3 linked regions of the Coturnix japonica genome follow. The protein of the gene in region 3 purifies or fractionates together with the protein of the main gene of each other region. This does not show direct contact. Links are inferred from orthologs where the notes say so. Each region holds a gene or a part of one and is shown on either strand. Other genes may lie near its edges.

Evidence for each region.
Region 1: the proteins of WDR48 (region 3) and PPP1R9B purify together in Homo sapiens (affinity purification with mass spectrometry; 3 studies listed by BioGRID and IntAct, with this or other methods). This does not show direct contact. The link is inferred for Coturnix japonica from reciprocal best matches to the Homo sapiens genes WDR48 and PPP1R9B.
Region 2: the proteins of WDR48 (region 3) and PHLPP2 purify together in Homo sapiens (affinity purification with mass spectrometry; 5 studies listed by BioGRID and IntAct, with this or other methods). This does not show direct contact. The link is inferred for Coturnix japonica from reciprocal best matches to the Homo sapiens genes WDR48 and PHLPP2.

What each region holds. Positions count from the first base shown.
Region 1 is NC_029542.1:2,576,123-2,580,150, forward strand, and holds the start of PPP1R9B (neurabin-2), read left to right. Parts: upstream 1-1,228; 5' UTR 1,229-1,371; coding exon 1,372-2,658; intron 2,659-4,028. UniProt on the Homo sapiens protein: Seems to act as a scaffold protein in multiple signaling pathways. Modulates excitatory synaptic transmission and dendritic spine morphology. Binds to actin filaments (F-actin) and shows cross-linking activity. Binds along the sides of the F-actin.
Region 2 is NC_029526.1:17,690,115-17,694,383, forward strand, and holds the start of PHLPP2 (PH domain leucine-rich repeat-containing protein phosphatase 2), read left to right. Parts: upstream 1-1,469; 5' UTR 1,470-1,546; coding exon 1,547-1,663; intron 1,664-2,022; coding exon 2,023-2,261; intron 2,262-4,269. UniProt on the Homo sapiens protein: Protein phosphatase involved in regulation of Akt and PKC signaling.
Region 3 is NC_029517.1:4,674,374-4,678,663, reverse strand, and holds the start of WDR48 (WD repeat-containing protein 48), read left to right. Parts: upstream 1-1,490; 5' UTR 1,491-1,556; coding exon 1,557-1,604; intron 1,605-4,290. UniProt on the Homo sapiens protein: Regulator of deubiquitinating complexes, which acts as a strong activator of USP1, USP12 and USP46. Enhances the USP1-mediated deubiquitination of FANCD2; USP1 being almost inactive by itself.

The sequences.
Region 1 (4,028 bases), on a different chromosome or scaffold from region 3:
CAGCGGAAGGGGAAGGGGGGGCAGGGGGGGCTGTCGCTCTGCTCTGCGTCACGCCACGTCACGCACAAAGGGCTGTCGGGTGCTGCAGCCGCTGCTGGGTCCTGCTGCCCGTATCTGCACTGTGTGGGGGGCTGTGGTTGATGGGGAGGGGGGGGAGGAAGGGATGGTGCCCCCATATTGGAAACCAGGGTGTATAATGTGTGGTTGTTTTGGTCATTGAAGAGCCCTAAAGTGGTGCTGTGCTGTGTGCTCTGGTCCCTGTGGGGTCTGTATGCTCTGGGAGGGGAGTGGGACCCCAATAACACCCCTAAAATATACCCCCCCCCCCCTCCAGGTTGACCTCCTGGTCAAGGTGTGGGTGGGTGGGTTGGCAGTGGGGAGGGGAGAGGGGTGGGTTGATGGGGACAGAAAGTCAATGGGGATCCTATGGGGGCATCATAGAAACAGGGGCTGGGGGAGTTCTGGCTACGTGGGGGATCAAAGGGATCAGAGCAAGGAATGTGTGGGCAAATATGGGGGGGGGCGGGCAGAGGCTAAAAGGTGGAGAGGGGGGACATGGGGACACAGGGACGGGAGGGGGGCATGGGGGTAAGAATGGGGGATATGGGTTATACACAGGGAGGATATGGATGGGGCACAGGGAACAAACACTGGAGGACTAAGGGATGGGGGGGGGGTGGTCATGGGGATACGGGGGTGTATAAAGGTGGGGGGCAACTGGCCAGAAGTGGGGGGACCCAGGGACCATCGTGGGGCTGTGGGATGGAAGTGAGGATGCAGAGGGGCAGGGCTGGGGGTCCCAAGGGCTGTCATAGGGGACAGAGGGGGAGCAAACCCGGGGTGGGGGGGGCTATGGGGAGGGGGGATAGATATGGGGACAGAGCTGGGCTGTAGGGACAATGCACAGTGCCAGGGAAGGGGGGGAAACGCGGCCCCAACCATGTGCAGGGGATGGAGGGGGGCTGAGGGGAGGGGGCGGCGGTGGCAGCAGCGTTCTGTGGGTGGGTGGGGGGACACACATAGAGCTGGGGGGGGCATCATCCAGCAGAGCCCGAAGCTTTAGCGGTGAGGAAGAGGAAGAGCAAGAGAGCGTCGCTAAGACCCAGAGGGCTCTGCGGGCAGCGGGGCGGGCGGATCGCGGGCGGCAGCGCTCATCAGCAGCGCAGAGAGAGAAAGGGGAAGAGGAGGAGGAGAAAGGAGGAAGGAAGGAAGGAGGGCCGGGGTGGAGGATAGGGGGGGGGGGGCGCGCTGGGCCCCCCCAGGCTGACGATGGCCTGACCGGGTCCCCGCAGCCCCCCAGCACGGCCCCCTCCCCGTGCCCAGCGGGCGGCGGGCGATGCGGCTCGGCGGTGACGGAGGTTTCGGGGCAGGATGCTGAGGACGGAGGCAGCGAGCGGGGCCGCAGCCCCGGGGGGCAGCGGGGGGACCCCGGGCGGCGGGGCGGGCAGCGGGGGGTTGAGGAGCGCATCCCCGCACCGCAACGCGTACGAGGCGACCATCCAGGCCCTGAAACCCACAAAGGATGCCGAGGGTGAGGACGGCAAGAAAGCCCGCAGCAAGAAGTATGGCTCCAACGTCCATCGCATCAAGAACATGTTCCTGCAGATGGGGACGGCGCCGGGCCCCGAGGGAGCGTGCGACTTGGCCAAGGGCAAGGAGAAGCCGGTCCGACTGTCCCTGCCCCGCACCGGCAGCCTGAGCGATGGCATGGAGCAGGGCAGCACCCTAAAGCTGGGCACCAGCGTGTCCGAGAGGGTGAGTCGCTTCGACTCCAAGCCCGACAAACCCTTCTCCAAGCTGCAGGAGACAAGGAAGATCTTCGAGAGGAGCCCGCAGGAGAAGGAGACCACCACCAAACTGCTGCTGCGCAAAGAACGCGCCGGCTTCCAGGACCGTAAGCTGGACGTGGTGGTGAAGTTCAATGGCAGCACTGAGTCTTTGGATAAGCTGGACACCGAGGCCGTGTCGCCCACTGTCAGCCAGCTGAGCGCTGTGTTTGAGAAGGCTGACCTGAGGAACAACCTGCATAAGACCCCGGGGCGCACGGGGCCGCTCAACTCCAAGCTGGTGAGCAAAAGGTCCCGCGTCTTCTTGCAAGGAGATGGTGGCAAAGCTGATGGCGGTGCAGAAGGAAGCGCTGGGACCACACGGCCACGACCTGCAGAGGAGGAGAAAGTGATGGGCAAAGCCCCGAGGTCGGGGGAGAAGGATGGGAGCGTCCCGCGGGTGCAGGAGGTCTGCAAGATCAAACCCGTGGAGGTGGAGGAGAGTGGAGAGTCGGAGGCGGAGGTGGAGGTGAAGGAGCCCACGGCTGTAAGTGAAGTGGCCAAAGGGGCCGAAGGGCTGGTGGCCCCCGAACCGTGCCTGGATGGGGGCGAGGAGCCCCCCGACACCAAGGAGGGAGGAAAGGGTGAGAGGGTGGAGGAGAGCGAGCTGTATGATGAGTCCAAGAAGGAGGACTTCTCCGAGGCGGACCTGGTGGACATAAGTGCCTACAGTGGGCTCGGGGAGGACTCGGGGGGCAGCGGGTTGGATGAGGATGAGGAGGCGGATGGGCTGTATGAGCCTGAATCCAGCTGCATGGAGATCCCTGGGCTGTCCGAGGAAGAGGAGCCCGTCCCCAACCGCAAGATCCAGTTCAGCACGGCGCCCATCCAGGTGAGTCCCGCCGGGGTGCTTTGGGGGGCCCAAAGAAGGGAGAAGAGGGGAGGTTTGGGGGTCCTCAATCATCCAGCGATGGGGTTGGAAGACATAGAGGTGGGCAACCTCCTGCCCCATTGGCCATGGCCCAAGCTTGGGCAGCCTCCATGCAGCGCTGATGGCACAGAGTGGAGAAGGGCAGAGCGTCTGCAATGTGCCATTGTACCCCAATAGTGAGCACCCACTGCTGGGGACACATGGCCACGTGGGGAGGGGAAAGGGACACGGTATGGGGTGGAGACCTTGGGGCTGTGAGCTGTTGTGTTGGTGACACGTGGAGGATGGGGATGGCACACACTGCCAACCCAGTGCCCCAAAACCACACGTTTTGGGGGTGGAAGCCCATAATATTCATCCAGGCCTCATTTGCTGCCAGGTTCCACCAGCCCAGCCCTGGTCCCCATGTGCTGTCAGTGCTGGGACTCCCTCCGGAGCAGGGAAGGTTGATGCCCACCCCGCTGTGCTCAGCATGGGGACCATTTCAGGAAGTGGAGGAAGGGGAAGTGCCTCATGGCAGCAGCAGGAGCTGCTCATCCCCCTCCTTGTCCCCATATGGGGACAGCTGTGGGATTTGGGGTCCCCCCACCCATTGCCAGCCATGGCACGGAGGGCGATGAGGCCATGCCGTTAATTCAGGGCTTTCTCTGATGCTCGTATCCCCCCGGCTGGAGGAACAGAAATTGCTTTGTGCCTCGCTGGGTTATTTATAGCAGCACGGCCTATATTCTGGCTCTGAGTCAGCGGCGGGTGGGTGGCCCCACCTGGGATGGGACACGGGCACCGCGGTGGCACCGCGTGGGGATGGGGTCCCATGGTGGCCATACACTGCTGGGGGTTCTACACTGCATGGATCAGCCATGCCAGCCCTGAGAAGGAACCCCCCCCCCCTTCGTGGAGCTGTGGATGTGCTTGGAGGGATGCTCTGCTCCCCTGATGTTTGTCCCCTGCTCTGCCCCTCTGTTGGGGGGGACCCCCTGTCACAGTGCATGTCAGCATCGTGAGCCCCCAGAATGGGCACATAGGGACACCCCAGCACCCATAGAGAGCACCCATAGAGAGAACCCATAGAGAGCACCCTGCTGTGCCCAGGGATGGGGGTCCCTGCTGCCAGCCCCCTCCCTGGACAAATCTGCTCCCTCCTGCTGTGTCTCCTTTGGGAGCTGCTCTGGGTCCCCTGCAAGTCTCCAACACCCCAAAGACTTGGGGACAGCACTGAGGGGCACAGTGGGACAAGCTGGGCCATGCCTGGACCCCTCTGGGTACCCTGTGCAGATGGGGGGCAGGTGTCCAGCTTGTCCCTAGGGGTGCCACACGGGTGGGTCCTGCCT
Region 2 (4,269 bases), on a different chromosome or scaffold from region 3:
CTTCTGCAAATCTATTTTTGACATGTGACAAATTGAAATGCTAAGTCTTGAGTGAGGGGCATAACTGATGTAAACACGTACATGGAATGCGTTAGACTTCTGCTGTGTGTATTGTCTTTTGGTTGAAACAAATTATGAAGTGACTAATAAAATGAGTCAATATTCCATGATTTAAAACTGCGCCTTGTTGCTTTGTGCAAGTACAATGGAACAGCCTTTGTCAGCTTTTGATGGGCCGTGCCAGAGTCAAGTGATATGAAATCATCAAGGGCGGAGTTTGAAAAGCTTTCAGGAAATTTTGGAGAGTGAAATGGACAGTTAAAAACCCTTAAAAAGGTCAGGTCAAATACTGCCCTGAACGAGCTGCTGCCAGCAGGACCAGGTGCTACGCAGGTATGATCTGAGCGGATGCTGTTTTCCCCCAGTGGCTGCAGGCGCAGTCGGTTGTGGTTCCCTTACTGACCTAAAATGTCTCTTTTGTGCTGTGTGTGCCACTGAGACGAGGATTGTTCCAGTCTCACCCATTAAAGCAACGTGTAGTTGCCTGCTGTAAGATTCCTGGGTTTTCTAGTCCCAGGAACAGTTCCTTAGACACCATGTTTTCCAATACAATCCCAGTTTTCCCCTGCACAGCACGGGCGTGTGCTGGGAACATGTGGAACCTTAATGCTAAGCCCGATTGTCAGTCAGCTCCTCGTTAAGGAGCAGAGCTCCCCACGGCCTCTGCCTGAGAATTCAGAGCCGTGTGTTGGTGCAGCGGTGCACGATGTGGCTGCGGGCAGGTGCTGCGGAGCAGGACGGGCCACAGAGGGACGTCCTGGTGCTGAGCCCGGTATCCCATCTTGGAACAGGTCCTGACTGCAGAGATGCTGTGCTGAGCTGCAACACGCTGAGATCAACCAGGAGCGAGGTGGGAAATTTCTGAAGGTTCTGTGGAATAGAAGTAAGTGCTTAACACAGAAATAATACCAGTGTGAGGGTTTGGAAAGCAGCTCATTTAGAAACGAGACCGGGAATTAGCAAGTAAGGAGCGGGCTGCGGCCACAGCGGCTGCGTGAAGTCCAGAACCGCTGCGGGGCGGGCACGAGGCTGCGGCTTTGAGGTGGCTGCGGTGCTGGTACCGACTGCCGACAGCGGCTCACGGAGCCCAGCGGGACAAGGCGCTGTTTGGAGCGGCCGCGTGCAGGAATGAAGGAAGCTCAGGGTCACAGCCCCGCAGTACGGGACGGCGCTTCCCTCCGCGCGGTGTCACCCCGCGTTACGCAGCCGCGCTGTGAGCGCTGCGCCGATGACAGCGGGTACGTAGGGGCTCGGGCGGCCTCGTGCCCGCGGTCCGTGCGGCGCTCAGCACCGACTAATAACTGCGCCGGGAGCGCGTCCATCCAGCGCTGCGCACGACTCCATCACTGCACCCGCTCCCCGTCCCGCTCCTCCCGCTGCTGCCGCTGCCGACACCGCGGGGCGGAAGTTTCGGCGCTTCCGGGGCGGGGCGCGCGGCGCCGTGGCGGCAGGAGCCGCTGCCGGAGGTTTGTGAGTGTGACCGGCCATGGGGGAGGCCGGGCCGGGGCACAAGGACGCGCCGGATCCCGAGGAGGATGAAGCGGCGGCGGTCGGAGCGCGGGGCGGCCGGGCCGGGCCTCGCGGCGTCGTCCGGGTGCTGAAGGTGAGGAGGAGCAGGAGGAGCAGGAGGTGGGGGGGGGCCCGGGTCGAGCGGGGCCGTTCCGGGCCGAGTCTCCGCGCCGGCCCTTCCCGGCAGCTCGGCGTGCGGGGCGGCCGCGTGCGCTGCGTCCGGGTGGTGCCCGGTGATGCCCGATGATCCCCGGTGATACCCGGTGATACCCGGTGGTGCCCGCCTCGACCTTGGCCGGGGCCGCTCCGTGCCGGCTCCGTGCCCGCCGGCTCTGGCCGTGCTCCCGCAGCCCCTCCACGCCCGGCCGTACCCGGGGCCCATCGCGCAGCTCGGCCGGGGCGGCGGGTGCCGCTGCAGGGCTGGCTGCTGACGCGCCGGTTTTGGCCTCGCAGAGAAACGTGAAGCGCAACGGGAGCAGGAGCTGCTTGAACAGGAGCCGGTTCAGCTCCCGCGAGCGGGACTGGCTGAGAGAGGATGTCGGCCGGGGCTGCGTGTACGTCTATGGAGGAGATTCTGCAGCTTCGTCTGACCTGCGCCTGGTGCTCTGTACGGTGGATACCCCGGCAGCTGAGATCTGTGACGGGGAAGAGAGGAAAAACCTCTTCGTGCAGCTCCACGGAGACCTGGTCAGGTGAGGGCCGGCGTTCACGCTGAGCGAGATTTGCTGTAGTTGTGTAGCGCTTTCTGCCTGCCTGCACGCATTAGTGTGCAGATGCAGAACAGAGAGAGGCAGTAGGTGTCAGCTGGATGCGGCCTTCAGTCACCTAATGAGAACAAAGTAGCGGTGAGCTGTTTGTACGTAGTCAAGGCGCAGCTGGGAGGGTTTGGTGGCTGCTCCAACTAGAAATACAGCCTCGCTTTGTAAGTAATTCTCCTTCGTTGTGTTGTTTTAGGGATGCTGTAGTCTTGAGAAAATGTGAACAGTTTGTGGGGCTGTCAGCAGTTATTCCGAGTCCACGCGGCCTCTGAAGTACTTTGACAGTTATGTCACAGTATTTTTGTATTGGTAATTTTTTGGTGAATTTCTGAGGTAAATAATTAAAGTTAAGCATGGGGTGCAGTAGATGTTAGAGGGCGTGGGCGCTGTGTCACAGGTTTTATGTCTGCAGTCAATTAAGGCTGGAAACAAACCTCAGCTCAGAGTTTGAGGTTCATGGACTTTATGCTGAGTGTATTATGGGCTCCTCTAGCTTTACGTGCTCTCATTAGGTCGTTGTAGTGATGCTTCAGGATTTCACATTTGATTATGAAGTTGTGGCTCCAGTTCCTAGGAAAAAGGGCATCGCTGTGGTCTTTTTTTTCAGAAGCATGAGCTGAATAGCAGTAATAGCTTTTTAATAGTGAAATGTAAGTCTTAAATTTAATGTGTCTCAAGTTTAAAAGGGTATAGCATAGGTTCAATTGGGTTGAAGGCAGGAGCACTAATGGCGAGAGATATGAAGAACAGGACGGGGAAAGGAGGCCTGCAAAAGAACTGGCGAGGGACGGAGAGAGTATTGATGGGACACTGGGTAATGGCTTCAAACTAGAAGAAGGCAGCTTTAGGTTGCAGAGAAGGAATTCTCTACTCAGAGGGTGGTGAAGCGTTGCCACGTGCTGCCTGGAGAAGCTGTGGATGCTGTCACATCCCTGGAGGTGTTCGAGGCCGTGGATGGGGCCCTGAGCAACCTGAGATATGGTGGAAGGCAGGAAGATTTGAACTGGGTGATCGTTAAGGTAGTATCATCATTCATTTGTGGCAGTCTTTGCAGAGTTAGCAGATTTGCCCTGCTGCCCATGTTCTGGAATGAGTACCAAGCTGTAAACATTTACTTTATGTGCTTTGAAAGCGGAGGGTTTGGACTCGATGATCTCTTGAGGTCTCTTCCAATCTTTGCAATTCTGTGATTTACTCCTTCAATTCATTGCCTCCTGCTCTTAATCAAGAGCATAAAATTCTGTTGAATTTTATGGAGAGCTCTTGATCCTTGTGCATCTGTTGCCTTTGTAATTCTTGGGGTGTCTTTGCCACAGAAGAGATTCCTGAATCACCACTGAGGATGTTCTCAGTAGAACCATTTAGGTTAGAAAAGACCTTTAAGATCATCAGGTCCAGTCATCCACCTAACACTGTAAGTGCATTGTTAAACTACATTCCTAATCACCATATCCACATTTGTTTCTTAGATACCTGCAGAGATGGTATCTCCACCACCTCCCTGGGCAGCCTGTTCTGATGTCTATCCGTGGTATTGCTTCAGATCCATCTCTGTTAGGAACAGGAAGCAATCGCAAACAGTGCCTGCTTCCGTATCCACAGGAAGGTGACAGAATGCTCAAGACATCCCTACGCCCTCTTGAGATAATCATTTCATTGAAAAAAAGTTTACTGACTGCTTTAATAATGTGTTTGTGACTACAAATTACTCAGTGAAGCATCCGATTGTATCTTACCCTTGATATGTTTGTTTCTCAAACGAATTCCCCACCCTTCTAAATACCAGTAGGTGGTTTTCTTTCTAAACCTGAGCATGGCAAAAGTTGATCCGGTACCTGACTCAGAAGACTGAACACAGTGGGACACTGGAGCAGGTTGCCCAGAGATGTTGTGGATGCCCCTCCCTGGGAGCGCTCAAAGCCGGGCTGGATGGGGCTGTGAG
Region 3 (4,290 bases):
GAAAAGCTAAAAGATTCAGTGCATCACATAGAAAACCTTATCTACCATATTTCTGTGTGTGTGTGTGCAGTTTGTCCACATGACTCCGTATCAGCCCAGCCTTGCTTCATGTCTGTGATGAATGAGAATGAATGACAAGCTGAAAGTGCAGCTCAGACACATAGAAACCAGCAACTTATAGCCTGTGCCAACATGATGCTTCTTGTGTTCCAGCAAAGACAACCTCTGATGGACTACACAATCTCTAGAGGTCTCTCCCAACTTCAAAGGTTCTACGAGCACCGTGCATGTTTTTGTTCTCCTTTCAGTAATGAGCTGTTGGTCAGAGGATTTAAGAAACACTGCATAGCAGGGACTATCCACATATAATCAGTTGACATGCAGAGAGGAAGAAACAGCGGAGGACCACATAGATGGTGAAGGGCCTGGAGCATCTCCCCTATGAAGAAAGGCTGAGTGAACTTGGTCTGTTTAGCCCTGAGAAAAGAAGACTGAGAGGGGACCAGATTCAGGTCTATAAATATCTGAGGTGTGGAGGGGGGAGTGGTGAAAAAAAAAGCTTTAATTTTATCTTAAAAAAAAAATGTAATGAGTTAAGCAATGCAACTTTGTGATACCTGTCCTAGATGCTTTAAATCATATGCTCTGCACTGTTGTAATAACAGAAAATAGTGAAAATATGGCTGCTAAGGAAGAGTTTTGGCCAAGGCAGATGTCTTTTAAGAACAATACCATCTGCTTGCAATTGCAGGGAAGACACTGCAGTCAGCAATGCTGGAAAACGCAATTCTTATCAAAATAAGCTTATATTAGCATTAATGAGTAGCCAGTGAGCATGGCTGCAATCAGCAGGAATGTGAATATGTGACTATATATTTTTTACTTATTTCTTTACCCATTTTTTGTCACTGTAAAAATGTTTCTCGCTAGGATTATTGATCTACTGTGCATTTCACCAATCACCTCGTCCAGTCACCATTACTGTTTTGAAGTAAATGAAATAATCAATACCAAAGCAAACCCCCCAAGGTAATATCCCTATGCACAGCCTTCTTTTCTCAAGGCTAAACAGACCCAGTTCCCTAAGTCTCTCCTCATAGGGGAGATGCTCCAGGCCCTTCACAATCTTAGTAGCCCTCCGCTGGACTCTTTCCAAGAGATCCCTGTCTTTTTTTGTACTGGGGAGCCCAGAACTGGACACAATATTCCAGATGAAGCCTCACCAGTACACTCATATAAAATGGCTTTCATCCAGAGGAAACCTGGACAGGCTTGAAAAATGGGCCCATGTAAACCTAATGAGGTTCAACGTGGCCAAGTGCAAGGTACTGTACTTGAATCGTGGCAACTCCAATACATAAAATGGCGAGCCGCCATTACTGGGGCTATTACTGAGAGGGAGCTCTGGCCCAGCCCCCTTGTCAGTTGCCTAGCAACGCCTCAATGAACGTCAGCCATCTTGTTTCTGCTTTATAAGGGCTTTGGGGGCTGAGAGTGGGGGTGGGACTTCCGGAACGTCACTCCTCGGAAGTGACATCACAGTGTCAACATGCAAGATGGCGGCGCATCACCGGCAGAACACGGCGGGGCGGCGGAAAGTGCAGGTGGGTGCACGGCGGGGTTCGGCTGTGAGGAGCAGCAGGGCTTTGGGGTGGGCTACATACGTGTAGGCCGCCCTCAGGAGGACGGTCGGGGATGGCTGGGCTATGGGAGGGGGGCGGTGGTTGCTGGGGAGGGGTCTCTGCGTTGCTCCGTGTGGGAGGCTCTGGAAACTACGAGGACTGGCTAAAGGAGAGAAGGGAAACGGCTTCATCGGCTTAAGGGAAACGATACTGAGCTACATTGAGCCACCCGCCCGGCTCCGGGCTGCTGTTCTGAATGCAAGGCCGCAGAACAGTCAGGCTGTGATAGTGAATGGTAAAAGTCAGGAAAATAGATGTATTGTGATGTTTTGGGATAGTATCAGCACCTTTAATAGCTTTACTCCTTTCCCATAGCAAAATGTATGTTTTATGTGTACCTCTGGTGGTAAGTGCAAGTTTCAGCTGTTTTTAACCATTATATTTATATATATACCGATTTAGCTTGCAATAGTCTCAGCATCCTTCCAAACAGAGATGGGTGCTGTGTCTTAAGGCACCTTTTCTATTCTGTCCCATAGAGGAAATGTTTATAGCTTATAGCAGTTCTTATAGTCAAAGAAGCACTTGGTCAGTGCTGCATAAAGAATTCCTGTGCCCTTTTGCATCGTCTGCACCGTATGCAAGTTCTTGAAGATTGGCCTCCCAAGGAAGGAGATTTTGTATTTATTTATTTGGTGATCTGTTGTCACTGTGTTACTTGATGCTTTTTGCTTCTCCTTATCCTGCTGTGATGATCCAGGCTTCAGCCAGTGTACACTAAGTGATCAACAGAGAATAACTTTGATTATATTATAAGCACATACAAAGTATTAAGTACAAAGTAGGTATTTTATTGTAGTCCTATTACTTCACTTACTTGGTTAAATTCAGGGTTTTGGCCAAATAATGGACTTCTCAGTGGCTCTTGCATCCATCAGCTGTTGGTAGAAAGTAAAAACCATTAACAGTTTATTTTGCTTCCTGATGGCTGAGCATTTAATATGTTTCTGCATCAATTAATAGAGATTTCTCCAAAATCTATAGTGCAAGGGGAAGACTCTGTAGAAGAATGCCCATCAGTTGTGGAGGATCCTGATTCTTTACAAGACATGGGAGCTGGTTAATATTTATGCAAGTTTGAGCTGTTGTTGTCTCTGTTGCACCTGTTTTACTGGTCAGTAGAACCATTCAAAACTGTGTAGGATGCTTCTGCATATAATTGTATATTGCATAAGGGTTTAATCAGGATAGGAGTTTCAGACCTTAAAGTGAATTCTGAGCATAAAGGTAAGAAGTATAATTAAACGTGAGGCACTCATGTGAATTGTGTCAGTGTTCCAATAGTAAGGTCCCCTTCACTAGGGGTGGAATGGAGATGTGTGGGTTTGGGAGTAGTAAACATCACTGTGTGATGGGAATCAGTTGGCTTTGTGCTACGGCTTTCAGATGTGGTACTGTGAATTAATTCAAGATGAGGCCATTTTTCAGCTGGTGTGCATTCTTCAACATGTTTTTGTTGGTATTACCTATATCTCTGGTGCTCTTAGTCACTGAAATGGCTAGTCCTGATCCGTTTAAGATACTAAGTCTCATAAATTCTTTATAATGAGGGTTTATCTCTGTAATATTCCCTATGAGGACAGGCTGAGGGAGTTGGGTTTGTTCAGCCTAGAGAAGAGAAGGTTGCGGGGTGACCTCATTGCAGCCTTTCAATACCTGAAGGGAACTTACACCCAGGAGGGGAGTAAACTCTTCGAAAGGGCTGATAATAGCAGGACTAGGGGAAATGGTTTTAAGTTAAAAGAGGGAAGATTTAGGTTGGATGTTAGGGGGAAGTTCTTCACTGGGAGAGTGGTTAGGCCCTGGAACAGGCTGCCCAGGGAGGTTGTGGATGCCCCGTCCTTGGAGGTGTTCAAGGCCAGGTTGGACGGGGCCCTGGGCAACCTGATCTAGTAAGTGTGTATGTTTGGTGGCCCTGCCAGGCAGGGGGGTTGGAACTACATGATACTTGAGGTCCCTTCCTACCTGGGTCATTCTGTGATTCTGTAATATTTAGACAGTGTTTACTGCAGTGAAGCGTTGCTATTTGTTACAGGAGTTTATAAATGCTACAACAACATTAATGTAAAAAGCATTGGTCATTATTAAAGTATCTTATAGCCCATCTTGCCCTTTCTGGACCATCAAATGGCAATATCACAACGTGGGGTCTGTCATCATCTTTGTGTTTGATGCTGGCTTTGTGAATAGATGCAGTGAGCCAAGGTGCAATGTGCTCTTGGTTGCCTTGTTTGAAATGTGATGAAATGTAACCTGTTGTATCTATTATTCAATGTGTTTGTGTACACATACTTGAATATATACTCTGTATTCATTGTATTGATACTATATTTCCTAATAGTTACTGTATTTCTGTACTGAGTATTGCTCCAATCTAAAACCAAATAACAATAATACTATGGAGTCCTCTCTGACTTCAGGATGTCATTAGGTTTGGGAGTGGGATTTAGAGAGTCCATCAAGAATGAACTGATAGCAGCATTTACCATTTGCTCTTCAGTCTATCAGAGACTTATTAACCCTGAAACAAGACACTTACTCTCATTTTCTCAGTTCTCTCAACATATAAACAATGCTTGTAAAGAGGTGAACAGCTTGCATTTAGTAT